5 linked regions of the Oryzias latipes genome follow. The protein of the gene in region 1 interacts with the protein of each later gene in a biochemical or structural test. Links are inferred from orthologs where the notes say so. Each region holds a gene or a part of one and is shown in the gene's direction. Other genes may lie near its edges.

What was found.
Region 2: the proteins of nxf1 (region 1) and nup62 form a complex in vitro, tested with the Homo sapiens proteins (3 studies listed by BioGRID and IntAct). The link is inferred for Oryzias latipes from reciprocal best matches to the Homo sapiens genes NXF1 and NUP62.
Region 3: the proteins of nxf1 (region 1) and nup214 form a complex in vitro, tested with the Homo sapiens proteins (4 studies listed by BioGRID and IntAct). The link is inferred for Oryzias latipes from reciprocal best matches to the Homo sapiens genes NXF1 and NUP214.
Region 4: the proteins of nxf1 (region 1) and THO complex subunit 4 form a complex in vitro, tested with the Homo sapiens proteins (2 studies listed by BioGRID and IntAct). The link is inferred for Oryzias latipes from reciprocal best matches to the Homo sapiens genes NXF1 and ALYREF.
Region 5: the proteins of nxf1 (region 1) and rbm15 form a complex in vitro, tested with the Homo sapiens proteins (2 studies listed by BioGRID). The link is inferred for Oryzias latipes from reciprocal best matches to the Homo sapiens genes NXF1 and RBM15.

What each region holds. Positions count from the first base shown.
Region 1 is NC_019868.2:11,992,006-11,997,710, reverse strand, and holds the end of nxf1 (nuclear RNA export factor 1), read left to right. Parts: intron 1-792; coding exon 793-829; intron 830-1,056; coding exon 1,057-1,125; intron 1,126-1,288; coding exon 1,289-1,344; intron 1,345-1,427; coding exon 1,428-1,535; intron 1,536-1,679; coding exon 1,680-1,738; intron 1,739-1,814; coding exon 1,815-1,930; intron 1,931-2,008; coding exon 2,009-2,051; intron 2,052-2,142; coding exon 2,143-2,221; intron 2,222-3,200; coding exon 3,201-3,383; intron 3,384-3,467; coding exon 3,468-3,528; intron 3,529-3,612; coding exon 3,613-3,651; 3' UTR 3,652-3,928; downstream 3,929-5,705.
Region 2 is NC_019879.2:22,072,739-22,079,135, reverse strand, and holds nup62 (nuclear pore glycoprotein p62), read left to right. Parts: upstream 1-2,554; 5' UTR 2,555-2,870; coding exon 2,871-4,373; intron 4,374-4,467; coding exon 4,468-4,626; 3' UTR 4,627-4,780; downstream 4,781-6,397. Other genes in the region: pdk1 (pyruvate dehydrogenase (acetyl-transferring) kinase isozyme 1, mitochondrial), read right to left, coding at 1-24, 858-1,042, 1,118-1,189, 1,268-1,409, 1,553-1,661; itga6 (integrin alpha-6), read right to left, coding at 5,729-5,893. UniProt on the Homo sapiens protein: Essential component of the nuclear pore complex. The N-terminal is probably involved in nucleocytoplasmic transport.
Region 3 is NC_019870.2:10,686,531-10,692,529, reverse strand, and holds part of nup214 (nuclear pore complex protein Nup214), read left to right. Parts: intron 1-191; coding exon 192-350; intron 351-760; coding exon 761-864; intron 865-945; coding exon 946-1,122; intron 1,123-1,332; coding exon 1,333-1,421; intron 1,422-1,516; coding exon 1,517-1,603; intron 1,604-1,685; coding exon 1,686-2,000; intron 2,001-2,133; coding exon 2,134-2,301; intron 2,302-2,604; coding exon 2,605-2,716; intron 2,717-3,410; coding exon 3,411-3,474; intron 3,475-4,031; coding exon 4,032-4,098; intron 4,099-4,269; coding exon 4,270-4,354; intron 4,355-5,996; coding exon 5,997-5,999. UniProt on the Homo sapiens protein: Part of the nuclear pore complex. Has a critical role in nucleocytoplasmic transport.
Region 4 is NC_019866.2:15,368,449-15,375,187, reverse strand, and holds THO complex subunit 4, read left to right. Parts: upstream 1-2,551; 5' UTR 2,552-2,698; coding exon 2,699-2,938; intron 2,939-4,288; coding exon 4,289-4,447; intron 4,448-4,532; coding exon 4,533-4,680; intron 4,681-4,774; coding exon 4,775-4,838; intron 4,839-4,929; coding exon 4,930-5,110; intron 5,111-5,193; coding exon 5,194-5,208; 3' UTR 5,209-5,517; downstream 5,518-6,739. Other genes in the region: mcrip1 (mapk-regulated corepressor-interacting protein 1), read left to right, coding at 472-576, 666-730. UniProt on the Homo sapiens protein: Functions as an mRNA export adapter; component of the transcription/export (TREX) complex which is thought to couple mRNA transcription, processing and nuclear export, and specifically associates with spliced mRNA and not with unspliced pre-mRNA.
Region 5 is NC_019865.2:10,858,914-10,865,689, forward strand, and holds rbm15 (putative RNA-binding protein 15), read left to right. Parts: upstream 1-2,212; 5' UTR 2,213-2,376; coding exon 2,377-4,914; 3' UTR 4,915-6,710; downstream 6,711-6,776. UniProt on the Homo sapiens protein: RNA-binding protein that acts as a key regulator of N6-methyladenosine (m6A) methylation of RNAs, thereby regulating different processes, such as hematopoietic cell homeostasis, alternative splicing of mRNAs and X chromosome inactivation mediated by Xist RNA.

The sequences.
Region 1 (5,705 bases):
GTGGAGGGACTACTGGGTCCAGCTGACACTAAGGCCTGATGTCCCTTTTTGATCATCTCTATTCTTAGGAGGCTTCTCTTTGCTGGTTTTTCTGGGTGCAGATCATGACTAAAATGCCTCGCTCAATGACGAGACTTTCATGTTGGGACCCGTGTGCCAGTGTTGGGAAATTCACTTGATATTGTTTTATCCAGACCTAGGTTTGTGTATTGGTGATGATAGACTCATCTGTTCTTCAAGATCTTGGCAGGAGAGTGGGGGGGGGGATAACTTGAGACTGGCGGTACCCCCCCCCCACCCCCCCCACCCCCTTCCAAGCATTACATAACCTTGTTATTTTGACTAATTCACCTTGGATTTGGATCCTGGCTTTCCGGTTCAGTCTGGTAGAAATGTGCATGTCTGTATGTGTGCTCTTTAGAGTATGCTGTTCTTGTGTTGCTCTTCCATGTCAGATCTGTGTATTTCACCATAGTGGGGGGAAGAGGGTGAGTATACCTGTGGGTAAGTACATTTTGGGATGGAAAATTTTGAAAGCACAGAATGAAACTGAAGGGGAAGAAATTATGATATCCCATTTTTACATAAACACTAAAGGGGGGGGGGGGGTCACCTGGCCCTTTTAAAACATGTTTCATTTCTGTGTCATCGCCCTCGCTGAAAAGTTTGAAAATCGAAGAACATTAGACCAAAGATGTGAAGACATTGGCGGTTATGTGAATTTCTTTGAGTTTGAGAAGGTTTGGAGTGAAACCTTTTTTGTTTGTTTTTTTTGCTTCTTCTTTGTGCCAGTGCTGTACGCCAGAGATTTCCCCGGCTCCTCAAACTGGTAGGTCAAATTGTTTTTTGTTTTTTTATGTCTACATAACAGTTGACCCTCTTTAAAACCATTTCTACCCTTTTGGTTAATTTAAAGCTAACCCATATTGAATTTAATAGGAAACCATCACAAAAGAGCTTGGATCAAAAACATCTCCTCGCTATTATAAAATGCAAATGCACAGTGTTTCCTGTTAATTAATTACTTTCTTTGTGACTTTTTATTTTTTATGCCAGGATGGTCAGGACCTCCCACCGCCCATTGGGTTTGATGTTGAAACACCCACTGCCATTCCACCCTGCAAGGTTAGTTCATTGACAGTGTGTAGTTCTATCAGATAGACGGTTGGTTGTTTTTCTTTGCTTGTAGATGATGTGAGAATAACAGTCAATTCAAAATTATGATTTATCAAACTTGAACTTTTTATCTCTCCAAGTACTATGTCTTTAATTTTTATTTGGTACTCAGGGTAGCTGCTTTGGCTCAGATGAAATAAAGGTGATCATCCTGCGATTCTTGCAGCAGTGAGTTTCTCAAACTGAACATCACCTCCATAGTCTTTCCATAGTTCTACTGGCCCGGGGTAACTGTAGAAACTTTGTTCCAGGTACTACAGTATATACGACTCGGGAAACAGACAACCTCTTCTGGATGCCTATCATGATGGTGCATCATTATCTATTACCACGCCTTACTCCACGCAGAACCCCTCCAGGTAAATGACGTGGCCAGTTCTTGAAGTTTATTAACCATTTAAAAATGTGGGCTGTGGTTACATTTATGTTTCAAATGCAGTGGTAGAAATAGATGATCTGTGTGTTTACTGCCAATACAGTGTTTGTCTTTATCCTCTATTTAGGAGCAGTCTGGGGGAGTATTACAAAGACAGTCGAAACCTTAAGAGAATCAAAGACACAAGTGAGTTTTCATCCAGACGTGTTCCCCGCCATAAGATGCTCTGTGATGCATATTGACGTTTACTTCTCTTCTCTAGCGATGCGCTTTCGACTGCTGAAGCACACACGGCTAAACGTGGTGGCGTTCCTTAACGAGCTTCCAAAGACGCAACACGATATTGCCTCCTTTGTTATTGATGTCAACACTTGCACAGTAAGTTCTTGTCAAATTAGGCCAACTAGTTGTGATGTCCTTGCTCTTGTTTAAAAATTGCACTTTTTTTTTTTACAGAACACACTACTGTCATTTACCATTGGTGGAGTCTTCAAAGAAGGTAGGATATATACTTGTGCAGGAATTTGGCAGCATTTCAACTGACACCAAAGTAGACTGTGGGGCTGATGTTTCATATTTTTTTTATTCAGTTGTTGTTGATGGAAAGTCCAGAGAATCCACAATGGCGTTCTCCAGGGTCTTCATCACAGTCCCTGCAGGAAATTCTGGGTAAGTTTCTTAACAGATGCCTGCCTAATTCTCCCTTTCTGTAGAAAAATTCATAAATGTCCTTTTTATCTGTTTACACAAATCAGAAATAACTGTATTTGACTAAATCTTCATTCTCTGTAAAATGTTTGCACCCACTCGTGTGAGTGGTACATGCTGTGTCATGTTACTGCTGGAGTGACAACACTGTTGGCATTTAAGTCACTAAAACATCGGCCAGAACACATAAGGACAGTAAAGTTGTCTGTGGTCACAGCTTGCAGAACCACTCCTATATCTATTGTGTCTAATGGCCTATTATTTCCACCTGTTGTCTATTCCACTTGCAGTAAAACATGTGAAATTGATTCTTAGTCAGTGTTGCTTCCTGATTGGGCAGTTTGATTACACAGACATGTGATTGACTTTGAGTTAAGTGTTCCCTTTCTTTTTTGAGCAGTGTGCTTCTTACATTTTCCTACAATCTGTAGAAGAAAAAAAATTTGTTAGTTTTGAGAAAATGTTAAACACCAGAAGAACTGATCAATTTATAATTACGGTACTTTATTATGGCCTAACTCGGGTGTAGATTCTGCTGATGTTGTTGGGCATAAACAATGTTCCAATCGGTCATTTTCATTTGAGGAGAAAGTTTCCCGGCTACAGTTGTGGAGGCGCGCCTACAAGCAGAAATGTATTTGGTCATTACATACTGAAATTCAGTCTTCTTGTGCTAAAGAGAAAAACTATTTTGTGATCTTGTTATAAAATGAAAGACCTTGTTTTCTTGTGATAATGAGATAGTAGATGTCATTATAGGAAAAAAGTTAAATTTGATAACAAATAAAATAACTATTACTAAAAAACAGGCCTAAAAAAGCATGCATGGCCATTCACAGATTGTGTTAAAAATGCAATTTTAAACAAAGGAAAATCAATTTTCAGTCGTCTTCCCTGGTATTAAAAAAAAATTTCTTGTCAAACGTGTCGTCTTTGACAGCTTGTGCATCGTCAATGACCAGCTTTTCATACGAATGGCAACAACAGAGGAGATCCGCAGAGCGTTTGTGGCCCCTGCCCCAACTCCATCATCCAGTCCCGTCCCAACCCTAACTGCACCACAGCAAGAAATGCTCACAGCCTTTTCACAGGAGTCTGGCATGAACCTGGAATGGTCACAAAAGTAGGATTCCTTCACTTTTTGGAATTGTTTCACTTGTACTGCTATTAGATTTGAACAGTGTAACATTAAACGCTTCTGTTGCAGATGCCTACAAGACAATGAATGGGATTTCAACAGAGCAGCACACATCTTCACTCAGTTAAAGGTAACAAATTGTCTTTCAAAATAAAAAAAAAATTATTTCTTATTTTTTGCAGTTTAAAAAAACGTTTTCTATTTCTCTCCACAGGCGGAAGGCAAGATCCCAGATGTTGCCTTCATAAAATAACTAAATATGTAAAATGAAACCTTCTGATTTTATTTTTTTATAATTATTTTGTGGCTTTTTGTTCCAATGAAAGAAAGGTAGATTGAACTTGTTACTCTTGTTTTACCAGCAACACATGTTAACAGTTTAGACAGGTTTTGCTGTTTGGATGTTGTATCCTGTCTTTATGGCCAATAAATATAGACACAAGTGTACATTTTTAAATAAAAATGAAGCCAATAATTGAACATTTTGCCTTTTTAAGAAATAAAATGGATCTTGACAAATGGCTTAAAGAGTTAACCTCAATCTGTTTTTTTTACATAATTTTTTCTTCAAAGTACCGTAGTTCTTACCCTTTAGTTGTGAGCAAACACTTGGAGAAAAAAACATCTTAAAGATGGCTAATACATTTTTTTACAAAAAATCATGTGAGCCACAACACAAGACAAAAAGAAGACACAAGTGCAGTTAATACAAAGCATTCTGTTTTACATCCTATTGGCAAAGGTAATGAATTTAAGAATATTGACAATTTTATTATATATAATTAAATTAAAAAAAAATGTAAACGAGAATTGTTAAAATCGTATCCAGTCTGACTAAATGGTTACGAATCAAACTGTTGGATTGATGTGATTGATGTTTGCACTGATAATTAAATTAATAAAATTACTCTCAGCCTGTTTTGGGCATTTGAGTGACAGCATTACTTATCATTTTTAACTGAGGATTGTTATTGAATTACTCAATTTAAGATGCATTTCATATCATGAAAAGAGGCTTATTGCCCCTACCATAAGTGGGTCCACTTGGCGTGGAACCTCATTTACAAACATAACTGTTCTCCACACAAGTATATAATCTGGAACAACATATCTTATTTAGAAATGAATTACTTAGAGACTTGGATGCAGAATGGGATCCTAATGGTGGCTGAGCTATTAGATGCCATATCCTCAGGAACATTAATACTGTTAAATTTGTTACCTACTGGAATCATAATATCAGATCCAACTGAGTCACCTGTGGGAAGCAACTGCCCTCAAAAGGCTACGACCAATTATCTTATTTGAAACAATTTGTTTCTGATATTAACTGGAAAGTATTTTGAATGATCCCTCATAAATGTCTAATTATGTGGTAAAGGGTATTCTTTTGAATTCTTCCTAAAATATACAAGGCAAAGGAATACATGACAAAATGTAAAAAAATCAATCTCTAAAGGCTCTCTAAACGCGTTTTGTGAAACTTTGCTGTATTACAATGTACAATGTAAAAAAACCCGCTTATTACCAATAATATTTATTTTTAATTGACATATTCAAAGTTAAAATGCAAAACTAAAAGAAAAATAAAGAATAAAAACTGAATAATAGTAATACAATGAAATAAGAAAAATAGAAGAAAGGCAGTAATTTACGTAAACAGATAATCTAAGATGTAATCTAAGAGTCTTGTTTTCCAAATTTGATGGAATTTTTAACATAAATTGGGATTCAGTTTTATAAGGCAACATTCATGAATTTAAAAAATCCTAAAATGATCCACCTGTTAAAGAACTGAATATTTTCTTTGATTATAAACCCAAACTGAATGTTATCAAACGTTATTAAGGGGTATTGTATTTTTTAAAGCAAGTACTATACGTTCCGCCAAAAATATATTAACCACCATAAAAAAAAATATGTTTCTTTGTTTTAATATCGTTTTATCACAAAGGGCACTGATGATCTTGAATTTCTTGCCAAAAGTGGCGTTTCTCTTCCGGGTTTTCTCTTTCGTCATCGTGACGTCTTACGCACGTACGCCACCATACCATCAGTTGGCGTATGATAACAATAAACAACCCAGAAGGAAGAGATACGCACCACTAGGACCTGTCGCTCCACACATAGGAGCCTAAAACATGATTCGGGGCGGCTGGAGTTGGTTGGAGTAAAGCCTCGTAACTTTCACCGGAGGCCTTTGGGTTCCCGACACGAAGGATTATCTAGTTTTTCGACAAGGCTAAGGGGAAACTAAAGTTACGGTTTCTCTCTTCCTTAGCTTCTTCAAGCTAGCTCCTGGTCATT
Region 2 (6,397 bases), on another chromosome or scaffold:
TCACTTTCCCTCCAAACAGGAGAGCTGAAGGAAACGACCCGAAAAGAAAGGAGTGATGTCAAAGAAACACATTTTTTCTTAAAATTTTATATAGTCACTATTTTTTATAGAAATATTCAAAATGTTGGGGTTCTGCATAAAAAATTAGTTATTTTCACTATAATGATGGAATTATTGTTTTTATTTTACACAAATTAGATTTTCATTGATTTCAAACTGATCAAATTAAAAAATAAACAAGTGTTGCAATGAATGACAACATGCAAAGTTTTAAAAAAAAAAGGAAGTTTAACAACTTATTGAGTCCAAGCCCCAAATTTTAAACTATGAAAATGTAAGGGAGAAAAACATGTATAATCCTTTAATCAGAAAGCTTGAAATAAAAAGGAACTCATTAAAAAAAAGAAGGTAAGGTTCTTCCGTTTTTTTTTTTAACACAAGCGATGCTAGAAAAAGTAAAAGAATTGACATCCACTAAAACAAAATTCTAACTTAAGCTCAAACCGTACATGGACCTTGAAGATTAAAACACTAAAAAACAAATCTGTTTCCTTTTTTGTTGGCTATGAAATGTGTGTTTGCTATATTATCTCTATTTTTTGTTTGTGGATCCATGAAGAAAGACTTTTTTAGTCATTTTAATAAAAATGTCAGTCATCATGGTGTCAGATAAGCCCCACTTTTTCTCTGAATTCTGACTTTTTGTTTTCCCTGGTTGATGTTTCGTCAGTTTTGATTATTTTATGCTTTTCTAGTCTTTGTTTTCCCCCTTCATTTGAATTCACTTCCACGTGCTTTTGAGCAATACAGCAATGAGGTGAACACCTAAGAGTTCTGTTAGCAAATGTTTCACTCACTGTGCTGGTTCAGCAGCATCCTGATGGATATTCTACTCATGTAAAACCGATCCAGAAAATACTGAACGTTCTGGCTGACGACTGGGTCGGTGCCGTAGGTTTCCTTATACTCCACGACGCCTTGAGCCATGGTGGGAATCACATCGTTGTGGCGGTTTCGGATTTTGATGACTGCATCTGTGAACCTGATCAAAAACCCGTTACAGGTTGAATGTGTAAAACCAGACTGTAGAACTGGTCCACTAGTAAAAACGACTCACTCATGTGTGACTTTTTCATTGTCTGCATTTTTGTCCTTGAATTTAAGGATGTCCTGGAAACTTTGCATATACCTAGGGATGGAAAATATCCATAAACGTGTGTGCAAACAGAAAACTCATAGGAAAATATTAATAAAAACAAAAGCACACCAGCTTTGGACCAAGCTAACTGATGAAGTTCTCAGCAGATTATCTGGCAGCAAATTAATTTCCTTCATGATGTTTGCCAGCCTCACAGGGAGCTCTTGTCTGAGGAAGGCGAAGGATGTTTTCTCACATGCATTTTCAGAACCTGAAGGAAGACAAAAACATGGAGGACTTTCAAAAATACTTTAAAGTATCCTTTAAAATTCCAACCATAAGCTAGAATACACACACATAGAGAGAGGGGGAGTAAATTACAACTATATTTAAAGCATCTAAAATTCATTTTACCAAAATCCAGAAACTGCTTCATGGATAAAGGCGAAGGAGAAAACTTTGAGTAATAGTCAATGTCCTTCCCGACCGCCACGCTCTTCCTCAGGAACCTTAAAAGCCTCATGTTGCTCTCCGGCCTCGACTTGATCAGATTTCAAACACACACGACACGTCCGAATTCTTATGGCGCACGCGGCCACAACAATAAATATGTGACGCTTGTTGACACACTAGCTTGTTGGCTAAACTCAGCAGTTCGCCCGCACGTTTGCGATTATCGACCGTGTTTCCACTTGGACTGAATTCCTGCTGCAGGCATGGTCACAGACGGACTAAAGCATCATCCCTCACTTCGGACGTCCTCTGTAAAATTCAGTCAAAAGTCAACACGGCAAACGCACCCACTCCGCAGCTGAGCTAGCAAGTTCAAAGAGTTGATTCGACGCCGAGAGAACAACGCAACTATTTTGCAGTAGTCTTTATAAAATAAAGATGACAACTTTTATGCAATTTAAATAGATTATTCTTCTGCTTTTATTTTATGGTGGTTGGAATACAACTTTTGGGATGTTCGCCACCTACAAATTGATCACTTTTGGTTCCTAACCCGCATATCAGATGGGTTAGATTAGACCGCTAAAAACACCACTAATGTAGAAAGTAATACATATTTGCGTGACAAATAAAATATATGTTGTTTTACTTTAAAGCGTTTAACAACAAAACGAATTTATATAATTTTAATTATTTAGCAAAATGCAAGAGGAATTATTAACATGTAGTTCATATCTACGACACTAAAAAGTGCGTTCTGTGCATCTCTTGTCCTCTATTAACTCTTTGACTGGTTGAAATGCCGTCGCTCTGATCCCCAGTGCTTGTCTGTAAGGTTAAAAAATAAAAACCAATCAAATGTCAGCATTTTTCATTTCGGCACAGTAATTTGGTGTTAAGGATGTCAATCTAAACTAGAGGGTGGGGCTTTTTCTCTGACAGACAGAATTGAGGGCAAAATTGCATGTTGAAAGTGGCGTCACTTCCTTTAGCTACAACAGAAAGTATGCTCAAAGAAACGTTTGGTCAGTTACCCACGTTTTTTTTAAAGATGCTTCGCTAGTATTATTATATTTACCGGCACAGTGAAAGAATTAGTTATTAGACTATGATTTAAAATATCCGTGGCTAACGTAAGAAGTCCTCTCATTAGACGGTTTTTCTTCGGTGAAGCTAGTTGAACCGGCAGCTCGTGCTAGCGACCCGCCAAAAACTGTGGTGAAAGATACCATTTTGTTCGTAAGCTGTAAAGTCATTTTGTTTTTATCAGAGGAAGAACATGAGTGGCGGATTCAACTTCGGGCAACCTTCGGGTTTTGCCTTCGGAGCGCAGAAGACCACAGCGGCCGCTCCGGCCCCGGGCTTCAGTTTAACGAACTCCACGGCTGCGGCTTCGGGAACGGGCTTCTCTTTTGGCACTCCGACTCAGAGTCAGACCAACGCCAACCCGACCGGTGGCTTCAGTTTTGGCGCACCGGCTAAGAACTCTTCCGCCGGCGGCACCGGCTTCTCCTTTGGCACACCCAACGCCGCCGCCGCCACCGGCACGTTCGGCCTGGCCACGACTACCCAAACCACCGCCGCCACTGGGTTGACCTTAGGCTCCTCGGCCGCTCCAGCTGCGGGGTCCGGCTTCACCCTGGGCGGGATGTTGTCTTCGCAGACGAACAGCGCCGCTCCAGCGGGAGGGGGCTTCAACTTTGGGGCTACCTCCCAGGCCCCACCCGCAGCGACAGTTGCACCTACAACAACCACCGCATCAGGTGGCATGGCTTTCGGAGGGTTCAGCTTCGGAGCGCCGAAAGTCCAGGTGACCTCAGCTGCAAGCACAACCATCGCAGCGGGGGGAGGAGGCTTCAGCTTCGGGACCCCTGCCCCCTCCACCCTCACCCAGCCAGCCCCAGCAGCTGCAGCTCCAGCAGCTCCAACCCAGGGTGGAGGGTTTAACTTCGGAATTAAACCCTCATCAACACCAGCTCCTCCCGCATCCACCCAGTCAGCCCCCACCCAGTCAGCCCCCACCCTAGGCCTGTCTCTGTTTGCGTCACCTATCATCACAACCTCTGCAGCAGCGCCAACTTCAGGTTTTACTTTGGGTGCAGCTCCAGCGTTGTCAACCAGCATGGCAGCATCCACAGCTGCAGGTACAGCTCCATCCTTCATGCTCAAGCCTCTGGGGTCCGTTGCCAGCACAGCAGCAAACACCGGCTCCACCACCACCACAACAACTGCAGCTGTCACAGCTAATGCCACCGCAGGCTTCACGCTGGGATTCAAACCTCCGACCATCTCAAGCTCCACAACAGCCTCCACAGCAACAGCCGTTACAACCACCACCACGGCCCCTCCGGTGATGACCTACGCCCAGCTGGAGGGTCTCATAAACAAGTGGAGTCTTGAACTTCAGGACCAAGAGAGGCATTTCTTACAGCAGGCAACTCAGGTCAACGCTTGGGACAGAATGCTGGTGGAGAACGGGGAAAAGATCACGTCTCTGCATAAGGAGATGGAGAAGGTGAAGCTGGACCAGAGAAGGCTCAACCAGGAGCTCGATTTCATTCTGTCCCAGCAGAAGGAGCTGGAGGACTTGCTTTGCCCTCTGGAAGAGACTGTGAAGGAGCAGAGCGGAACCATCTACATGCAGAACGCAGACGAGGAACGCGAAAGAACATACAAGCTCGCTGAGAACGTGGACGCCCAGCTGAAGAGGATGTCACAGGACCTGAAGGAGATCATTGAGCACCTGAACACATCCAGCGGGCCGGCAGACACCAGTGATCCAGTAAGATCTGAGCCTTTTTTTTTTAAATCATATTTCTCATAAAATCAAGTCTTCTGCTGTTTTAATCGCCTTCCTTTCTTTTTGAATCCTTTAGCTTCAGCAGATTTGCAAGATCCTGAATGCTCACATGGATTCGCTGCAGTGGATCGACCAGAACTCTGTCCTGCTGCACAGAAGAGTGGAGGAAGTGTCCAAACAGTGCGACACCCAGCGCAAAGAGCAGGAGAAGACCTTTCGTCTAACCTTTGACTGATTTGTTTTTTGGCTCAGTGCTTATTTTTCCCATTTTGCTTTGGATTTTCTCCTTTATTATACTTCTATTGTGTGTTGCAAAACTATTTTAAATGCAATCATCTTTATAATTGTATCTACCTGAATAGAATGATTAAAAACAAATTTTGAACTTTTTTGTGTTTTCACATCCTAATTTTACCTGTTTTTTATCTATATTTAGGATTGAAAAACATCTAATGACAAGATTTGTTTCTTGTTCTAAGACTGATGTTACCCCTTGTGCTATCTTAGATGACCCCACCCTTACATTGACGTGTTCTCCCTACCATGACAAAGGTGGAAAGATTTCATGTAATCCATGGACACCAGTGAAGATCACAAATCATTGAAGAAAAAAGGTTCAGCGCACTGTCTAGTGGGTCTAGATGACCCCACTCCCAATGTTAAAGTGCCTAGGATAGCACAAGGGTTAATACTTGCAAGGTGGATTTTCAATTAGGATGTTTTTGCTATGACACTCGTTTGAAGGGGAATTGACTTCAGCATTTGTTTGAGTTTTGTCAAAACAATGTTTTAAACTTAATTTACGGAGAAGCTGAAGATGTTTTTTTTTTTATATAGAAAAGGAAGATTCATTAGAAATAATTCTTTAAATTGTTTTATATATGACAAAAAGAAGCAGTTACACCCATAAAAACAGTCTTTTTAGCACATTCCCTTTGGATTGAATAAAAATAAAAACAATCCGATTCAGTGATGATCTAAAGTACAGTGGATGCTACCTGAACATCACAGCAGTGAGAGATTTCAACTTGACGGGAACACAGGCGATGAGTAAAATGACATCATTCCACAGTGATGGACTTGTACCTTTGCATAGATTTGACAACAATAGCATCTCAGCTGTAAACCTGTTATTACGAACCTTTGGCACCATGTTTTTTTTTATACAAAAATAAATACAAAATGTGCAGAAACCATAAAAAACAAACAGCACATAGAAAAATATATCTGTACAGTGTCAAAATTCAAGGTACTGAAACCAGTAAATCCTGGATTTACACATTAAAAATGATGTCAGCAGAATGATTGATTATTTATCGAACAAATGATCTCAGCTTTCAAGAGTAACTTTCACTGTCCATCCATGATGTCATCCACTGCTTCTTTTCAGTAACATCAGGTTTGAGTTTTGCATCTTCACGCTCGACACTCTCCTTCCTTATCCGCACCGCGTGGTACTGAGGAACGCTGTCGTCCTTCTGGGAGCGCTTGAAGAATCCGCACTGGTGACACAGGCAAAACATGAGATGAAACAGGAAGGCAGGTGTGGATCCTGACATTAAGCATGCTCTTGCTTAGCGTATTTTTGGAGTCCAAGCAGACAAAATGCTGACAGGCCGCGCATCGACAGAACTGTGCACAGGAAAAGCACCGAAATGTGGGCAAAATTCAGAGACACATGTGGCACCACTGGAAAGCATATTTTGTCAGTGGTTCATTCATGCTGGATTGTTTTTAAATGACTTCTATCGTGTGGTTAGTAAAATTTGAGTCCGGCTGAATTTGTCCCACATCACATCTGCAGATGGAGCAGAAAGGTAAACTCATGAGCAACTGCAAAAGCACGCTTCATGCTAACGTTACCCCCGTTCAGACAGAAAGTCAGGCCTCAGTGAGTGTTTCTTGTTCAGAAGGCTGTTGATGGATATCTGCCCTGTGACTGGCAGCCTCATATTGATCTTTATATGCTCTTTTGAAGAAACCGCACTGAGGAGGAGCAAGGGCAG
Region 3 (5,999 bases), on another chromosome or scaffold:
AGGGAGAAAAGCATGTTTTGGATGAATGATTCATCACTGTAAATATAGTAAACTCAATAAAAAAAAGCATCACTAACGTAGAGGATGACAATGTTGGAATTTCTTTTCCTTTTGACAACTTTTTAAAAATTGTATGATGTTACAATCGACACCTTGTAAGATTTTTCGATATTTTCTTGCCCGTGTTGAAGTCTCTCCATGGTGACATTGGCACGCTGAAGACCACATTACTGGAGGGCTTTGCTGGGGCGGAAGAAGCCAAGACGCAGAACGAGCTGGGAAAAGATAAAAACTACAGACAGCTGTTGTACAAAAAACCTCTGGATCCCAGAAGTGAGGAGCAACTCAAGGTGAGGAATAAAGCAGCAGATGAGTTGTATTTACAGGTACGATTACAGATGTTTTAAAGCAGTAAAACCCTCACTACACCCTTCATACACTTTTCTCAGACAGACATGAATGTTTTCACTCCTTTCTTTCTTGTTTAAACTCTCAAAGTTCAAGCCTTCATAGAAAAACAAGTCTACTGTTATAAAATGAAAACAGGATCTGATTGCGATCAAGATTTATGTAGATTTGGCAAATTTAGTTGCTGTAAAAAATAATAAATATATATATATATATATATATATATATATATATCCCGCAGTGAAAGGTGTACCAAAATTATAGTGAGGGACCACTGTACTTCATATGCCAATTATTGAGGTTTCTTTAAGACAAATAAAAGTCTTTTGGTCATGGTGTGTTCCGTTGTCAGGAGATTCGGAGGCTGTACCAGTACGTTAAATTTGCTGTGGAGGATGTTAACGACGTGTTGGATGTGGAATGGGAGAAACACCTGGAGAAAAAGAAAAAGCAAAAGTGAGTGTGGAGGATCACTTATTCAGCTGGAACTGAATGCGTCTGTAAACAACTTTTAATAAATAAATCCTTTCTTTTCAGACACATGGTCGTGCCTGGACGTGAGGGTCTTTTCAATACATTGTCCAACAACCTGTGCATCATCAACCAGCAGAAGAACCGACTGGATCAGCTGATTCAGGAGCTCAGTGCTCTGCGGCTCTACAGCAAAACCACTGCTCCTACCATTAACCAGAACACTGCAGCAACATCAGATGAGTAAGAGCTGTCATTAGGCTGAGAGGACTTGACAAATTCAAAAGTGTATAAATGTGAAAAAGGCTGTGATTGGAAGCACCTCAGATAATGATTTTAAGGCTCAGATTCAAAGAAATCTTTACTTCAATAAGCTGGAATTCCCTGGATTTTTTTTTTGGAATGCATTCATAGTTTCACAACTTAATATAAAATGTTTCTGTTTTATTAAAGCTACAAAGGTGAGCTGGAGAATTTGGAGGAGGCACTTCTGAAAGCCCGGCTTGAAACGACTCCTCCTGAGACAAAAGTGAAATCAGCAGGTGTGGAAGTACATTTTCACAAAAATTAATTTTTTGAACCTATTCTTCATTTCATTTGAGTTAAATAAGTTTTTTATTTTGGTGCGTTTGTCAAGCAGTCAAGGTTTCTCCTCTTAAACAGTCCCAACTGCGCAACTTCCTGTCAAAAGGGAAAATGCCTCCTGTGCGTTCAACTGCACCAGGTACTGTTATATGTGCCTTCATAGTTGAATTGAATCAAATTTGTTCCGTAAATAAGTTTCTAAAGACTTAATTGTTTTCCAGCCAACTTGTCGCGCTCGGCCTTCCTGGCCCCTAAAAACCTTGAGGACTTGGATGATGTGAGCTCAACGTCCTCCTTATCGCAGTCTATAGAGCTTCTCCCATCTCACTTGGAGTTGGAGGAAGAGGAAGAACTACAGCCCCTGCAGCCTTCACCTATGAATTCCATGACCCAATCACTTCCCACCCCACGTCACCCCACTGTTGTTCGAACGCCCTCCATTCAGCCAGGCTTTGGAGCTATACAGTCCACCCCTCTAACAAAGATGCACCCTGTTCCTGGTATGGGCTTTGTGCTAAGCCCCATTATCAACCCTGGTAAGTAAATCAAACATGTTTGGCCTTTTTCCAACCTATCAAGCTTATAATATATTTGAAATGAAATTTCCTCATAGCACAGCCAAAAGAATACTTTAAAAAACACTGTTTCATTGAAAATGTTTTATTTTAGTTCCTACAAATAGGATTAACCTCAGCGGGGCTGAAAGTACTGCGCTTGCCACAAAGACGGTAAAGCATGGAGCACCACCTGCAGAGCGGAGCATCCCTGTGACCATCTCTGCCCAGCAGGCTGCTGCCACCGCGGCTCTGCGGAGACAAATGGCCAATCAGAAGACGGGTAGGAGGAACAATCAGCTCAAAAATTCACTTCTAAGTAGATTTTTCCCTTCAATAATGTGCACACAAGTCAAGTTTTTGTTGCTTTGCAACATCTAAACCACAAGGGGGAGACAAATCTCAACATATAAAAAAGAAAAATTCCCATCAATAAAACCTCAGGAAACACTAAATAATGGTCCTGAAGGAAAACTTACTGAACCTAAATTGGCCTTCTGATACTCAAGGCTACAACAATAAAAACTCACATTTTACTCCTAAATGCTTCTATTTTAATTTTTGTATTTTTCTTCTTTTTTTCCAGCTGTTGTCAACACTTCTTTGACAGAGTCCACCTTAAAAACTGTCCCTCAAGTAGTGAATGTTCAGGAGCTTAAGGACAAAGGGGCACCTATGCCAGTGTCCTCTATGGTCAGGTAAAAAAAAAATCAAACCCTGAACTGTTTTTAGAAGAGGGGAAAGTCACTAACTTCACTTTTTTTATTTGTGTCATGTGTCATGAAAAGTAGCCAATTGCAATTATGATTATCTATCAACACCAAGAATATTTTAAAAAAGATTTAAAAACATCCTGCTTTTTTAGTAAAAAAAATAAAACTGTCAAAAGATGGAGTGATTGCTATTGAATGCTGAGGGTTTCTGTCTGCTTAACTTACCTTAAAGAAAGCTTCTTTTTTTCAAGAGACAATAATACAATACAATACAATAATACACCACATAATACAAAAACAATAATAAAAAAAACCATCATATTATTTTATCAATTAAAAAAAACAATGTTTAATATTAGAAAAACTGTTATACCACTAAACATTAGATTGTCTCACACACCTGTTTTTTTTTGGGGGGGTATTTTGAAAACTGCATGTTTAGCTATTTATCTTTAATGCTAGATTTTTATAAACATGTTATTTTTTAAGATGGACACAAATACACTAAAATAATGCAATATCTATAAATAACATTAAGATGAAGAACAAGGCCATATTTTGATTAAAAAGTCTTGTGGCCAGCCAATTTTTTAAATTAAATAAACATGAACTTCATGTTCAGTCTCATATTTTCTTTGTGTTTAATAACTGTCCCACCCGTCTTGTTGATCTTCTGCAGCTCCTCGGCGCCAGATCCCTCAGTCCAGGGCTTCACAGCAGTTTCTAGCAGCCAAGTCAAACGAGTGAGTTGGATCTTTCTATCACTCTGCAGGCGGTTGCCAGTCAACTTTTTATTTACAAATCTTTTGTTTACAGTTGTGGTATTGTGACTGAAGTCACTCTTGTCTGTATGGATGATTTTTGGATGAATTTTCAGACATGCACTTTTTCATTGTAGTGTCGCACATTTTACTCAATTTCCTATTTAAAAATGGCGTCATGTTTTACATAGAAAAAGATTAGATAAGACATATTAAAATTATATATTTCCTCATAATTTTAAATAACATTCAACATGTGAAATTTCACGAACTGCTGACAGTTTGGCATCTGAAGACAGGCCTTCACTGCACAGGCGAGAAATACCTCATGTCCCTCCTGAATTTGTGCTACAATCTGCTGCAGTCTGACAGGAGAGCCACCTCATTCGAGTCCTGTTCCAGGACGAGTTCAAGTTCGTAAATGTGGACGCAAAAGGACACTGTGTGAATGTTTTGTTTTTTTCCTTTCCACCTGCTGAAAAGTGCTGACTTTGTGATTACGAGTTTGAATCTGCAGCGGTAAATGTGTGTCTTTGCAGAACACACCGGGTCTGCAAAAGATACCCACAGAGAATGCATCTATTCCACAGACAGGCTTTGTCTTTGGTAAGTGTTGTAAGATAAAATCTGTTTTGATGCAAGAGACCTAACATCTGCACCAATTTCTTTGTGGTTACACATAAACACATGACCCTAATTTTTAGTTAGGACTTTGTAAAAGCAAATCCGATTTTTAGCAGTTTTCTTACTCATGTTATGAATGTTTTTGTCCTCAAGGCCAACCATCCAAAACAGACCTTTCCGGGGGTCCACCTAGTTCACTTGAGCAAAACACCAGCAAGGCCTTCTCATTCACCTCAGGGTGAGTTAACACAAATGGCATTAAAAGAAAAAGGTGATGATTAGTCAGGGGAGAAAGTTTAGTGACTGAAGCTTTATGTGATTCATATCTCCATTAAAAATATTTGTAAAAATTATAGACAACTTTCTTCCAAAATCGTTGTCGTAGCTTGAGGATAAATAAACATGCTTAGCTCACATCAATAAAATCGTTTATTTATTTTGCTTGTTTTAAAACTTTTTTTGAAATAACTTTTTACCAGAGTTTGCACTTTGTAGACAGTCCCTTGGCAGCCGCCCCACTGCCGTCTCTATCAGCAGTATAGAGAGAGCTGTTCTCTTAAAAAAAAAAAATCTGATATTTTTTCTGTTGAAATGACTTTGTGGGTCATTGTTTGCATTAAGTTAAACCAATAAACCTGCGTTGGGCTCTTCCGGCGCGGCGGGGGGCTGCTTTCCTGGCTGGGCTGGGGCGGCGCTCTCTTTCCCTCCGCGCCTCCCTGCTCTCTGGCTCTGGGGGCCTTGCGGCGGTCCTGCTGGCCCTGGCCTGGGTGGCGGTCTTGGTCGCCCGGGGGGCGGTTGTTCCCTGCCTGTTCCCGTGTGGCGCTGGGGGAATTCCGGCTGCCGCTGCTGCTGCGGCGGGGGTATGGGTGTGGGGGTGGCTGGGCGCTCCTCCTCCTTCTTTTCACATTCCACCATCCATTTTAGAAGAACATAAACACTCACCTGAGCACAGGTGTTAGCTCACCTTTGCACTAATAGTTTGCATGATTGAATGAATGAAAGATTTCACACTAGTTGGTTTAAAGGCATAGGTATGCGTTCGTGAACACTATCTGTTTTGTGTGCATGTTGACATGTGGACATTTCTGCGGCTAGCAGGTGTGTTGATAATATTTGAGTGTGTGTGAACAGGCCCCGCCCTTTTTGTACTACATTTGAACCGTACCGTAACGATAAACAACCAGTAAACCTGTCTGCTCTATGCTGCTTCATGGTCTTACCCCCCTTCCCCTCCTATTATCACCCTCCTACCCCCCCCTCTCTCTAACGTCCCTCTCTCTTGTTCCCCTCTTTCCTTTTCCGTCCGGTCCAACACCAAAGATTTTCAAACATGATTGAAATTAATAAAGTTTGGCCTCAATTACAAAAGGGGTTTATTCAGACATACCTTTGGTTTGTCTGAAGATGAATAACCCCTCTTGTTAGAATAAAATATGTCCAACACAAGAGGCCCTCAGCTCTCATCTGTTTGCCTAGCTGTTGGACAGGACAAGTTAAAAAAAAAAAAAAAAAAAAAAAAAAAAAAAAAAAAAAAAAAAAAAAAAAAAAAAAAAAAAGTTAAACCAATAGAGACGCTTGCTGTCAGTTCTAAACATTTATCGAAAGAGTTATTGAGCCCAGAAATCCAAATCATTGAATATGTTGCTTACTTTAACAACCTGTATTGTGCGCTTCCTGCTCTAACTAGTGCCGTATTCCAATGGGTTTTAAAGCATTATGATCCATTCATGATATGCAGACTGTTATTTGAGTATTTAATTTAATAATCTGTGATAGGATGGGGACATCCCTAGAAAGTGTTATCAATTGGAAAGCAGTATTGTTGCCTTTGCTCAGTACTACAGATGTTTTTCATTCTTACTTCCTGGCTGCTTTTGCAGATC
Region 4 (6,739 bases), on another chromosome or scaffold:
TGTAAAAAATAAAGTCTGGATTCACTCTAAAACAGTTACTGGTTTAGGATAAACTTTGGTTATCATGTGTGAAAAATATTGCAACTTCGCTGTGTGGTACTTTATCTAAACATTTTGCTGCATGAAGCATGCATTCCTCTGTATTAGCCCTTTTTATTGCTTTAAATAGTGGATTTTAGATCGATGTATTTGTCACAGTATGAAACTAAAGGCTGCTCACACAGTAGTGTGAATATTTTGTCACCCAATACTCCATAAAATATTCTTGAATGTAACTTAAATAGGTGTGTGTTATGGAGTTAATAAACAGCTTTAGAATTTGTTCCCATCTACTACCCACAGGACTGAATTGTTACTAAAATACATCTGACATCCATTGAATGAAACATCTATGGTGGGATTTGACCTTTTAACTGTTGGTGAACAGCACCTCAACCACTTGCCGTCCTTCTCACCTTTATTCCTTCTCAGCCTGGCAGTGTGTGCTCAGAGACATCCGATCAACGCAAAACAGTGAGCGTAACGACCGCGGGCCGCAGGAGTATGTGGAGAAGAACCCTAACCCTAATCTACATTGTAAGTTACAGAGACATTAAGCCAAGAGATCTTTATGTTGATTTAGGACATTTTTTAAATGACACTTGTGTTTCTGTTTGGTTTTGCAGCATTTACACCAGTGGACCTGAGTGATCTTAAAAAGCGCAACACACAGGACTCTAAGAAATCTTAGTCTTTTCTATGATGATCCACTTGCTTTTTTTTTTTCTCCACCCATTATTGTAAAGAACTTTTGATTTATCAGCCCGCTGTCAGCAAGAACGTTTGACCCATTGGCCAATCTAACCCAGAATGCAAATCGAATCTCTACTCTGGACTAAAGCAACCTCTGCCCCCCCCCCCTTTTTTTTTTTAAATCCTCAACAAGAACCAAAAGGATTTGGATTTCAGGGAGTTCAGATTCTTCCCACTTTCTCTGCATTTTTAGTTCACAGTTTTCATCAAAAGTTTCAATGAAGGTTTTGTGGTTAAGGCACAAAAAACGAGGACACAAGACTTAAACCCTCTACTACCAAATGTACCCTGATGACTTTGAAAGAAAATATGAAAGGGCTGACTTCTGTTTTTATTTTTTGGAAAACCAATTGATAAACAGTAGAATGATCTCAATGGATATCCTCTTAGTGGGCTTGTTTTGGAAACCAAAATACAATGTGGAAGGCCAACATTTTTTTTATTATTATTATTATTATTATACATTTTTCTTGCCCTGGGATGGACATTGTTGAGTAGTGAATGCAGGAATGCAGCTCTTATCTCCTTCCTCTAAGCCTTGGAAGCAAAATGTTGAATAAAAGACTTTTACAGAACTTCTGCTTGGTTTGACACTCATGTATGTTTGTTATAATACAATGAACAGTAATCAGTGTTAGGCTGTTTTTTTCCTCGGAACAAACGTTAGCTAAAAGTATGGAAAACGATCATAAATAAGAGGTTAAAAACTCCCCAGTATATCCCCCACCCCACTAAAATTCAGCTATTTTTAAATATACATAACTGTATTTGTAGTTTAGCTTTACAGATTGATTATATCTTTGATTTTCACTTTTTTTACACCCACAATTATTAGGAAAGTAATTCTTTTGCTTTTTTTATTAATAACAGCAATACCAGTTTTTTGTTATTTCTTTATAATAACGTGCAATTAACAGAGGTAGAGTTTACAGACAAACAGAGCCATGTAGCTCAGAAACAATCAATGTAGGAAAGGTTTCAATAAAAGAACAAGAGGGAAACTTTCTTTTTTGTTTGTTTTCTAATTAGGTGAAGAAGTTGTTGGTCTTAAAAATACTACTACCTTCAAATCAAAACAATAGAGTTGCATTTATATTTGTTATTTACATATTTCAAATGAATGTGAAGGAAGAATACAATCATGCATTCTCGTGCAGGGTGCTTTTTTAATCCTTATTGTAGTATGAAGAAGAGCAAAATTTTGAATAATACTTTGAATTGCTATCTTTTTATGCAAAATTAATCTTTTGAGATCAAATTAATTTCAACTTCTTAGCAGATTTGCTGACGTGTCTCATCAAAAAGAGATCCAATTTGTATTTATAATATGCATATTGAGAGTTCAGGGTGTTGTCCAATTTAAGCATTCATTATAATAACGTTTCTTGATCAAACTAAGAAAGTTTTCTTTAGGTCATAGTCACATCTAAATAAAAAATCAATTCAATACAAATTTCATTTGAAATATGAAACCACATTTTTGTTTGTTTAAAGAAGTGCCTTAGCCTATTTGTTTTCAATGTAATTTAAAGTCTAAAAGTATTTTTTTTTATGTTATTCAGTTTCGTTATAGAGATATAGTTAAAAGTGTTTGATTTAATGCTTTGATTGCTTCTTTTAGTGTTACTATGAACTGAACACACCCATGTATGGCGTTTTTTAGGAATAATGTTTTAGTTTCCAGTAGAGGGCGGTAAAGAGTTGTTGTAGTTTTTAACGTAATGACGTCAAGAGTACGTGTTCTCCAACCAATCAGCTTTTCTACAGCTTGTGGGCGCTTTTCATTGTGCTTAGTACTTGGACCAGAGAGCGTAAATCTACGGACGAAGAGAGGGAACAGCTTAGTCCAGGGTGTTTTAAGACAATTTAAATCTTTACAGTGCTTTAGAGTTATCGGGGCAGCATAATGGCGGATAAGATGGATATGTCTCTAGACGACATTATCAAGCTGAACAGGCAGAGTAGAGGCGGAGCCCGTGGGGGAAGAGGCCGAGGCCGCGGAGGCTCAGGCGGTGCCCGTGGAGGAGGCCTTGGGCGTCTTGGTGGTGGCGGCGGCGGATTTGGAGGCCGAGGCGGAGGATCAGGCCCCATGAGGACCCGACAGAACCTGAGCCGCGCTAGAGGCAGACCAACGCCTTATAGCAGGGTATGAGAAAGTTAGACGAATGGGCATTGGAAGGAAAAAAACCTTCGTCAAAGCTGAAAATTCCTGGTTTACGTCTTCTTTTCTCCATTTGGCTTGACGGCTAATCACCTAGCTAGTCAAGCCATTAAAATGGTTGCTTACCGCTGAGTTTCCCTTAGAGGAGAGCTCTATAGTTTGTGGATAAGCATAAATGGAGGTTGTTTGCATAATATGTCCCTTCTCCCACAACCTATATGTGTCGCACCACTTTTCAAGAAGAAGCTGCTTGAGGAGCGACTATGTTAGCCACATTGGCTAACCTGCCGGATCGTGAAGGTCTCAGCGCCATTTTGAATCCAACAACCTCGAATACAATTTGGCGTCAAAATGATGTTTTACCCCAAGTGTCGTAATGGTCTGGAAAGAAAAGGATGCCTACATCGCTGAGAAGGTTCCTGCACGTTTTTTCCATTGCTACGGAATCACATTCCTTCCAACGTCCTGCTACATCTTCAAGGCGGCCTTTTGTCCCAGGAATGGCTGACGGGGTTTCTTAAAATCCCACCCAAAAGGCTTTTCACCAAATGTCACATATGGATGGATACGTGGACTCATACTTAATCCCCTCAAATTTCCTTTATTTTTTTTTTTTTTTTTGTAAAAAGAAGCCCAATCTTCACTCCTGGGGTGTGAATGAATATAAATGCAACCCAAACAAAGCCCCGATCAAAATGGCGTGGTTTCAAAATGGACGTCCGCGTACTCCACGCACTAAAAAGGGGGCTATCGGCTTCTTTCCCCCCAAAATGTTCTTCACCTGTAACATCCTAAAGACATTTCTTCATGAAAGTCGAATTGTGGCCTGACAAAGGACTGTTGTGAGCCTGGACAAGCGGCGCAACGCGGGATGCGAGGCTGCTTCTGCCGGGGACCCCCCCTCGTGTGCCTGAGGAGCATGTCGACAGACAGAGCAGTTGGTGGAGTAGCAGATGGCAAGAAACGACGGGGTTATGCTAGCTAGTTTGGGGCGGATTTTTGGTTCATGTAAAGATTTTTTAAAGTTAATGTATGAAAATGATTAGTTTAAATATCTGTCAGCTTTTTGTCTTACTTTACAAGTAGTAAAACATTGAAATTTTCTGTATCAAAACACCAAAATAGCTATTTTTAAATTTGTGTATTTCTGTCTGAAGTGATTCACGTGATTGTAACGATGGGGTGGGCAGGGATCATGGGGGGGTCTGCTGAGCACCCTGGCCGTGTTGGAAGTGGAGCACCTGCTTGCACCAACACCCAGCCGTGTGGACTCTGTGAAAGACAGAGGCAGGGGATCCTGAAGTCAGCAGGTGCGTTCTCTTTCGTCTGTTGCAGCCCAAACAGCTTCCCGATAAATGGCAGCACGACATGTTTGACAACGGCTTCAGCGGCTTCAATGGGGCTGCTGGAGGTGGCGGAGGAGCTGGTGTGGAAACGGGAGGAAAGCTCCTCGTCTCCAATCTGGACTTTGGGGTGTCAGACGCAGACATCCAGGTACAACTTAGCTAGCATATCTGATGGTGATGTTTTTTTTTTTTAATTGATGACTTAGTTTTGACTTTTTTTTTTTTTATCGAAGGAACTCTTTGCTGAATTTGGGACTCTAAAGAAAGCTGCAGTTCATTACGACAGATCAGGAAGAAGCCTTGGAACGGCAGATGTCCACTTTGAAAGGAGGGCAGATGCCCTGAAAGCCATGAAACAGTACAATGGCATTCCTCTTGATGGTATTCTTCTACTTTATTACAGATTTATTTAATTAGATAAATACATTTAAATATTAGTTGATCTTCCCAAGATTAAAGCCTAATTTGTGTTTAGGGCGGCCTATGAACATTCAGCTCGTCACATCACAGATCGACACACAGAGGCGGCCTATGCAGGGGTAAGTAAGCATGGATTCTTGGGAAACTGGAAACAGGCTGTTGTGTAAACCCCAATTACATTTTCTTTGTGTATTTGTTTTGTTTTACCAGTATGAACAGAGGTGGTGGAGGCATGAGTAGAAATCGGGGTTTCGGAGGGATGCAAAGAGGCCGAGGGGTCCGTGGTGCAGGTGGTCCCAGAGGAAGAGGGCGGGGGGGGCGCGGCGGTGCCCCCAAGCAACCGCTATCGGCAGAAGAGCTTGACGCCCAGTTAGATGCTTACAATGCCAGGGTACATCTGTCAAAATAGAAAGCATCTTCTGTTGAAGTTGTTTTGCAGCTGTCCTAATTCTGTTTCACCTCTTGTTTTCTCAGATGGATACCAGTTAAGGAAACCTCCCATCCTAGTTGACGTCATCCCTCCCTGTCTGCACAGAAAGGGGTGCTTGTTACAGATGTGCAGAATATTTTACACTTGTCTTCTGATGTGATTGAAATTGTTCCAACCTCTTCTTTTAAATACTCCAAAGTGTTTTTTACCAAGTGTTTTATTTTTGTTTTAATTTTTTTTTTTTTTTTGATCGAATGGTTTTACTGTAGGTTAACTGCTGGGTGGAGTTTTCTCAGTTTCTCCCAACCCTGTAGTGAATGGAACTTGTAATAAAAACCTGCAGTATATATTAAATAAGCAATGGGTCATTGTTGTTTTGCTTTATTTTTTACTAAAACCAGTCTAAGGTGGAAATATGCTGGTTGTATTTACATGAAAGCTTTTACTACTTTTTAAAATGCATAGGCTAATAAAATTATTAAATGTTTGTAAATTACATTGTCCAATTGTATTTCAAGCAGTTAAAGATCAAATTCATATCTGCTATGACCTGCTTTACCCTGGGGGTTAAATACTTTTCAATGCATTCTATATTTTCAAGAGTTCAGCCACTAGATGTCGCCCTTGTTCAAATTTGATGGGTTATGTTCTGAAATTTGCTTTTGTGGCGGTTTCCTTTCTTCGCCTCTCAGTTGATGATGAAAGTGCACACATGAAACTGTAGGTGTACGTAACTTTTTATGGGACGCTAAAAGAAGGAATAAGTTAATCTAATAGGGAAGATAACTGAACTCGGAAAAGCTGCACCTTCCACCACACTTTCCGGAAGTGTTCCATAAAAGGCTCTTTTTTTTTTTTCCTTCAGCTTCCGGTTAATTTAACTGAAAACAAGATACTACCTGTGTTTGCTACCTTTGTTGTAAGGAATTTTGTTAATGTCTGTTTGAGACTGGTTGTCTACAGAAAATTCTGGTAAAGGTGGCTAACCCTAAAAACTCAGACACTACTTAAAAACGCTTTGATAAAATAGGTTTATTTTTAACTTAAATTTTTTGTATTTAAAGCAAATAAAATATGTTGAAAGTAGGTTTAACTTTCAATGTGGAGTTTCAGCAAAAGTAATAAACCTACATGGAACACATTATTTATTAAATTATTGTTTTACATGAAATCAATTCAAATAGGCTTTTTTTTTCTTTCAAAAAATATCATTGAAGATTTCAAACTAACAGATTCACATTGAGTTTTACAATGATGAAAGAATATCAATATTTAATACAAATATGCAATGCACCTAAAGTGGGGATAGAAATAGTGAAATAATTAAATTTGTGTTGTGATGACACACAAACATTTTAGTTTTATTTTGAAAGTCATTAAGCGGATGTCAGAATCCGTCGGAGCTTGTTCAGATTGTCTTCCTCCGCTTCACTTCACTCCCATTCACAGGAGACGGCCCCAGCCAGCAAAAGCAGAAAACGGTAGGACTAAACTTAAACTCTTTAAAACATACATTTTAGTAATGTTTATGAATTGTAAAGGTTGATATATTGTTGTACGCACAAATAATTAAGGAATATAAAAATAAAA
Region 5 (6,776 bases), on another chromosome or scaffold:
GCATCATATCATTAAAACAATTTAAAATAGGTTACTTTACCGTGTACAGCAATAATTTTTATGGATGTTTACAGACCTTTGTTCACATTGGAACTGTTTAAGCGTCACATCTTGTACAACAAAAAAAAAAAAACCTTCAAAAGATGATTTAGCCATTAACTGTTTAAGAGAACTGGACCAAGCGAGTGTGACATCACCCATAGAGTGTGGCTTATACTTCCAGTTCCAAAGACCTTCGTCAATTCAGTCTGCAGTTCTTAACATCGCCGTGTTGGAACCAGAAATCGTTAATGAGCAGTAATCAGTCAGAGTCGGCCTGAGATAGCATTTTTATGGCAACCACTCTCCCCAATCAGGAGTGAGCTTGTTGGACGTCCACTCCTCTACCACTTGAAAGTGTGCTCTGGAGAATCAGTCAATCTAACTCTTGTTGTTTGACCACATGCTTTTATTGAGGCATCTGCTTGGTCAGTTTATAACTTGAATAAGTTGCACTTCCTGCGCTGCCAGGATGAATGCTTCAGTGCTGTCCTGTAGGCCAGGCCTTTCTAGCCATTGGTAGGACTTCTTGACATAAGCCACTTCCTTAATGGTCCAATGGGACATCCCATGTAGGGGCTTGTCCTCCCATGAGGATCTGTCCTATAGCACCGCATCCTCTGCTCCCCATTGCCTGAGACTTTCACAGAGCACACTGTCAATTGGGGCCTTGAGCTTGATGTATTCATGCATCTTGGATTTTTCATCCTGGATAGTGGTTTCCACGCTCAACAGTCCTCGGCTAACGGACATGGTGACCAGTACATTTACCAGCTTGTCTTGAAAAAAGTGTGCTTGATCAAACAAGGCTTGGGGTAAATTTGACTTCCTATTTTTCCTTCAGACCTTTTGACCACTTCCATCTTGTGGTACATTAAAGAACACCTGTCTTCCGTTAAAAGCAAATTCGAATGATGCCTGATACACTTTACACCTCAAATTCAGAACACACACACATACATACAGTAAAACAAAATGAAAAATGAATAAAAATTTTAAATCATACTTCCAGTTTCACTACTTTCTGGACACTTGCAAAGAGGCTTCCGATTTAGAAAATAAATCATATGGAACATGTCCATGTGTTTTTGTTTGTATCTTTTAATATTCAGTTAATATGTTGATATTTGGGTCATTCCAGAACTGGAGGACATTTGGGCTGCAAAATTCATGAAGAGCAAACTTTGACTTTTCTAATTCTCTGCTATATAATCGTCAATAAAAGGTAATATCTGTCAAAGGCTTGATTAACTTTGCTTACAGATCAACTGCGAAATATTTATGACATTATATTGATGATGACAAGACTTGATGCAACCTTGTTATCAATTTTTGCAAGTAACAGGGTTGCAAACATGTATTAATATTGACTTTCTCTCAGGAGTAGACGCTAGTTGTTTAGCTGTCACTGAGTACCAATAAGAAAATTAATGTGATTTCAATGGCATGCCTTTTTGCATTTCTGACCACCCCAGAATGAATGGTGATATCTTGTTTTTCTCAGTTGCTACTTTACATGCTAATTTGATTGCTTACTTACTCATAAAAAAGCAACAACAATAACAATAATTGTCTTACTCTGATTATAGGGAAACAGGGTTGCATGAGGCGGAGTGAGACATTCAATCTAGGATAACTATGTGTTAAAAATAAAAGATCCACGTAACTTTTGCTCTACCCATTCTTTTTGAATACTGTTTGATGATGTCAAGTCCAGCATATCACTCTTTGCTATATTCTAACCCTCTTACCTGTTATGGTAAAAGGAATTGTGTGGATTCGGTGGGAAACACATTGTATTGATCATAAATAATATTTGAAATACTTCTTTTATTTAAAAAAATCCCACGGTTACATAAAACACCAATCAAAACAAGATATACCAAAAACTGAATCTAAAATTTAATTTTAACTGCTTTTATTGAAGATTTAATTTGGACAATGGGGGACGGGACAAGAAAAAATGCATTTTAGGGGGTACATTGAGCTTATTTGGCATTTTTTAAATTATTTTCAGTAATTATTTTCACTTAGTTTTGCATGTGGATTATTTAAAATAGGTTTATTCTGAAATGACCCATTTTTTAATCCATCGCTGTGTGCGTGATTGACGGGATTTTAAAAGGTTTTAACCAATCGCCGCCCCCCAAACACCGGCCAATCAGCGCATGGAGGCGGGTCTTCTCACAAATCTTAACAAAATGGCGACTGTTGTTGTTTTGCCGCAGGGTCGGTAAATAAATTCTTTGAACGTATTGGATATTTTCTACATTATTTTGTGGAAGGAGTGCAGGAAAAAGCCAGTTACCACAAAGAGTTTACTCTTCGTGGGCTGCAATGAAAGGAAAGGAGCGGTCGCCGATTAAAAAACGGTCCCGGGCCTTGGACGACATTCGAGAGAGGGGAGGATGCCACCCGACCAGCAAGAAAATGGGGGCTCTCTCCGTTTCCAGTGGGAGTAATAATGGAAACAGTTCGTCCAAAAGCGACAGCGGCTCAACGAGACGGAGCTTGTTGGGTGAGAAAAGGGACAGAGATTTTGAGGGCCATAGTCGGACTGGAAATAATCACAGCTGTCAGTCTGCTGCTTCCAGCTCCGTGGGTAAAAACCACAACCTGAGCCTGTCGCTAGACCTAGCCTCCCCGCGAGCCTCTTCGCGCGCGGAGCAGCGTGTTCCGCCGCCCAGCACCGAGAGTGAGTACAAAACACTCAAAATCAGCGACCTTGGGAATCAGCTGAGCGAGGAGGATATAGAAGATGGGCTTTTTCATGAATTCAAAAAGTTTGGCGACGTGAGCGTCAAAATTAGTCGCAGCAACGACGAACGGATTGCTTTCGTTAACTTCAGGAAGCCGGAGGACGCCAGGGCTGCTAAACACGCCAGAGGCCGGCTCGTGCTCTACGACCGGCCGCTGAAGATCGAGGCCGTTTACACGAGCAGGAGGAGAAGCCGCTCCCCCGTGGAGAGGGACTTGTACAGCGCAGCACAAAGTCACAGACACTTGCAGAGACCCCTGTCGCCCACCGGCCTGGGTTACAGAGACTACCGGCTGCAGCAGCTGGCTTTGGGACGGCTCCCTCCTCCCCCTCCGCCCCCTCTGCCCAGAGAACTGGACCGGGACAGAGAGTTCGCCCTGTTTGAAGCCAGGGCACGTCCAGCTTTCCTTGCAGAGCGAGCAGCTTTTCGTGAAGAGGATTTAATATCTCCGGAAGACGACCAAAGAGCAAACAGGACTTTGTTTTTAGGCAACTTGGACATAAACATTGCAGAAGCAGACCTCAGGCGGGCTTTCGACAGGTTTGGAGTCATAACAGAGGTGGACATCAAGAGACCATCACGAGGACAGACCAGCACATATGGATTTCTTAAGTTTGAGAACCTTGACATGGCTCATCGTGCTAAGCTTAGCATGTCTGGAAAAATAGTGGGTCGCAACCCTATAAAAATCGGTTACGGAAAAGCAACACCCACGACCCGTTTGTGGGTCGGTGGACTTGGACCGTGGGTTCCTTTAGCTGCCCTGGCCAGAGAATTTGATCGCTTTGGCACTATAAGGACCATTGACTACAGAAAAGGTGACACTTGGGCCTACATCCAGTATGAAAGTTTAGATGCTGCTCAAGCAGCATGGACACACATGAGAGGCTTTCCGCTGGGAGGCCCAGAGAGAAGACTTCGGGTGGATTTCGCAGACACTGAGCACCGGTACCAGCAGCAGTTCTTGCAGCCTCTCCCTATTCCACCGTTTGACATGGTGGCTGACTCGTTTGTCCACCGCGCCACGCCTGAACCTCTGAGAGTCAGAGATCGGACTCCACCTCCACTTCACTTCAGGGACAGAGAACTCTTTCCAGCAACGGAGTGGCCCAACCCGGCCATTCGTGAGCGGGTCCGGGGATCCCCCTTTGAGCCTCTGGAACATTTGGAACGCGACCGGAGAACTCGAGAGCCTTGGTCTTTGGAGCGTGAGCTGCAAGGGCGAGAACCAGGACGTAAGAGACGCTTATTGGAGGATGGCCGTCACCTAGATCACTCTCCTGACAGCACTGAGAGGACAGTGAGACGTAGACGTTCTTCTCCAGATGGCAGTCCTGGGGGCAGCAGCAGAGACGGAGGACGTTTCAGTGACTCTGAGCATCCTGTGCACAGTGAAACGGCCTCACCAGCCAGAGAACATGTCATTAGCCTTGAAAGAGGTGGGGCGGATCGAAGGGTTAAAAGCCAGAGTCTTTCTGAGAAAGGACTCTCATCTGCTGGTGAGCGGAAACGCAAAGCGGGCGACAGTGGCAAAGTGCCTGCCAAGAGAGAACGCTCTGAAAGCAGCTCTAAAGGAGCCCAGCAATCCAAACCTGATGGCACCAAACTCATTGTGGCATGGCGCGGAATGCTGCTCCTGAAGAACAGCAACTTTCCAGCCAGCATGCATCTCCTAGAAGGTGACTACGGCGTCGCCAGCGACCTGCTCATCGACGGCTCAACCGGAAGGCAGGTGAGCGAGCTAAAGATCACGCAGCGTCTCCGTCTGGACCAGCCAAAGCTTGATGAGGTGTCTCGGCGCATCAAAGTCGCCGGTCCAGGCGGCTACGCCATCCTGTTGGCAGTTCCTGGAAGCACAGAGGACTCCTCTTCATCTGATCCTATGGCCTCAACCCAGCGGCCCCTTCGCAACCTGGTGTCCTACCTCAACCAAAAACAAGCAGCTGGGGTCATCAGTCTGCCTGTGGGAGGGAGCAGAGATAAAGACAACACAGGGGTTCTTCATGCTTTCCCCCCCTGTGATTTCTCTCAGCAATTCCTGGATTCCTCTGCAAAAGCTCTGGCAAAAAGCGAAGAAGACTATCTGGTCATGATTGTGGTTCGTGGAGCATCTTAAAAAAAAAAAAAGAGAAAAAGTCACAATGCACTATGTTCAAGTGGAATATAAGAAAAAACAAGTCTGCTGTTTGTCAGTAATTATTGCATGCTGTGTTCTGCATTGTGGGGTACACTAGTATGGTTCTTGAGTGTTTGTAAGGTGCCATGTAATTCACTAAAAAGACATATGGTGCCCTGCAACCAAACTAAAAGGTTCATCTTAAAAATATCAAGTGAGTATTTGAATTTGATCAGTCACAAATGCTTCATTACAAATTGATGATTTGGGGATTTATTAGTTAAAATTCAGATGTTCTGCAAGAATGAAAAACCTCAGAGTATTTACACAATAACTCGGTGATAAAAGAAGCCCAACATATAAAAATGACTTTATTTAATTTTTGCTTTTAGATCATTTTTTTTCTGATCCACTATGTTGCATTACCTCAGCCTGTGCTGATGGTGTTATTGTTGGTATTCTGAAAAAAACAGCAAACCCCCCCTTACCTTCACCTAAAGTGCAGTGAATTGTCAGCTCTTTCTGCTTTGAGTAAATTGTGAACTCAAGATACTTGAGGAAATGGAAATAAATGGTTCTATTAACTGTTATAGAATGGCAGTAACAAATATTTTTGTTGTAAAGGGAGAACAGATATTCCAATAAGGTTAAAACACATCACACAACTCTTCAATGGAACTACATCCGATAACTTAGCCGTGTTCTTTAGTTAAAATAACACCATTTCCGTTAAAAGTTTCAAAGAAAAAATGAGTTGTGCTCTGTGTTTGACCTCGGTTCCACAGTAGTTAATTGAAGGTCACCATTTGGTTAGAGTCCATGTATTTCAGCTGCAGTTTTGTGAACTTTTGCTGGGGGAGGGGTCAGGTTTTATTGAATCAAGTTCCTGAAATTTTTTGTTTTTTTTTTGCCGAAATGTAGCATAACTTGGGGATGCTAATATCTGTGTGTGGATAGCTGAACACTAACGTTTAAGCGGTGTTCCTGCCCAGGGAACAGCCCATAATATGCAAAACGAATGAATGCAAATACTTACATTGCAATTTTAGAATTTTATTCGTTTTAAAGCTTTTTTTTTAATTTAGTGCCCCCTTTTTTCCTCCACACATGGATGCTTGCAGAGTGAATAAGTTAAAGTACAGTTGAGCAGAAAAGCTGGAAGGTTTGGTGATTTGTGACAGTCCAAGACATTTACTTCCTGTAGACCCACAACAATCAAAATCCGTAACATGCTGTTATAGCGGGAGAAACCTGCTATTTTTTTTTTTTTTTTTACAGCAAGTAGATCCGTGCAGTTTTATGGTTTTAGATGTACATTAGCAGTAAATGTAAAATTTTAGAGCTCTTTAAGTATTTCTACTTATGCTTGCCAATATTTCCCCAAAGTCTGCTGACCCTATGAGCTCCAGTATGTTTGTCATGCAGTAGTTATTGTGTAAATGATAATTTGCTGACTTTGGTTTCATATGTACTGAAAACAATGTGTGGCAGACTTGTAGTACATGTGACCAGCAGACCCGCTTAAGGGTTGGACTCCCGTCAAACGAGCTGCAAGACTCTGCAGAAAGAAGCGGCGCCCTAGTGTTTGTGAGTCCTCGCTGACGAGGCAGCTTTTAAGTTGTGTAGCCCATCTGCACCTGTGATGACTTCTGTTTTAAATGGAAAATTGAGCAATGTACGCTGTGTCGTGGAAAAGGATGATCCGTTGTGCCCATGCCAAGCTATTGACATACCTGCAAGTGCGTTTGGGCCCTAAATGTGACAGATTATCAATAAATTGTTCATTTGAAGGGAAACCTGTTTCTTCGGTGGAAGTGAATTGAGGAAACACGCTGCAATAACTTATTGTGTTTCAAAGGAGT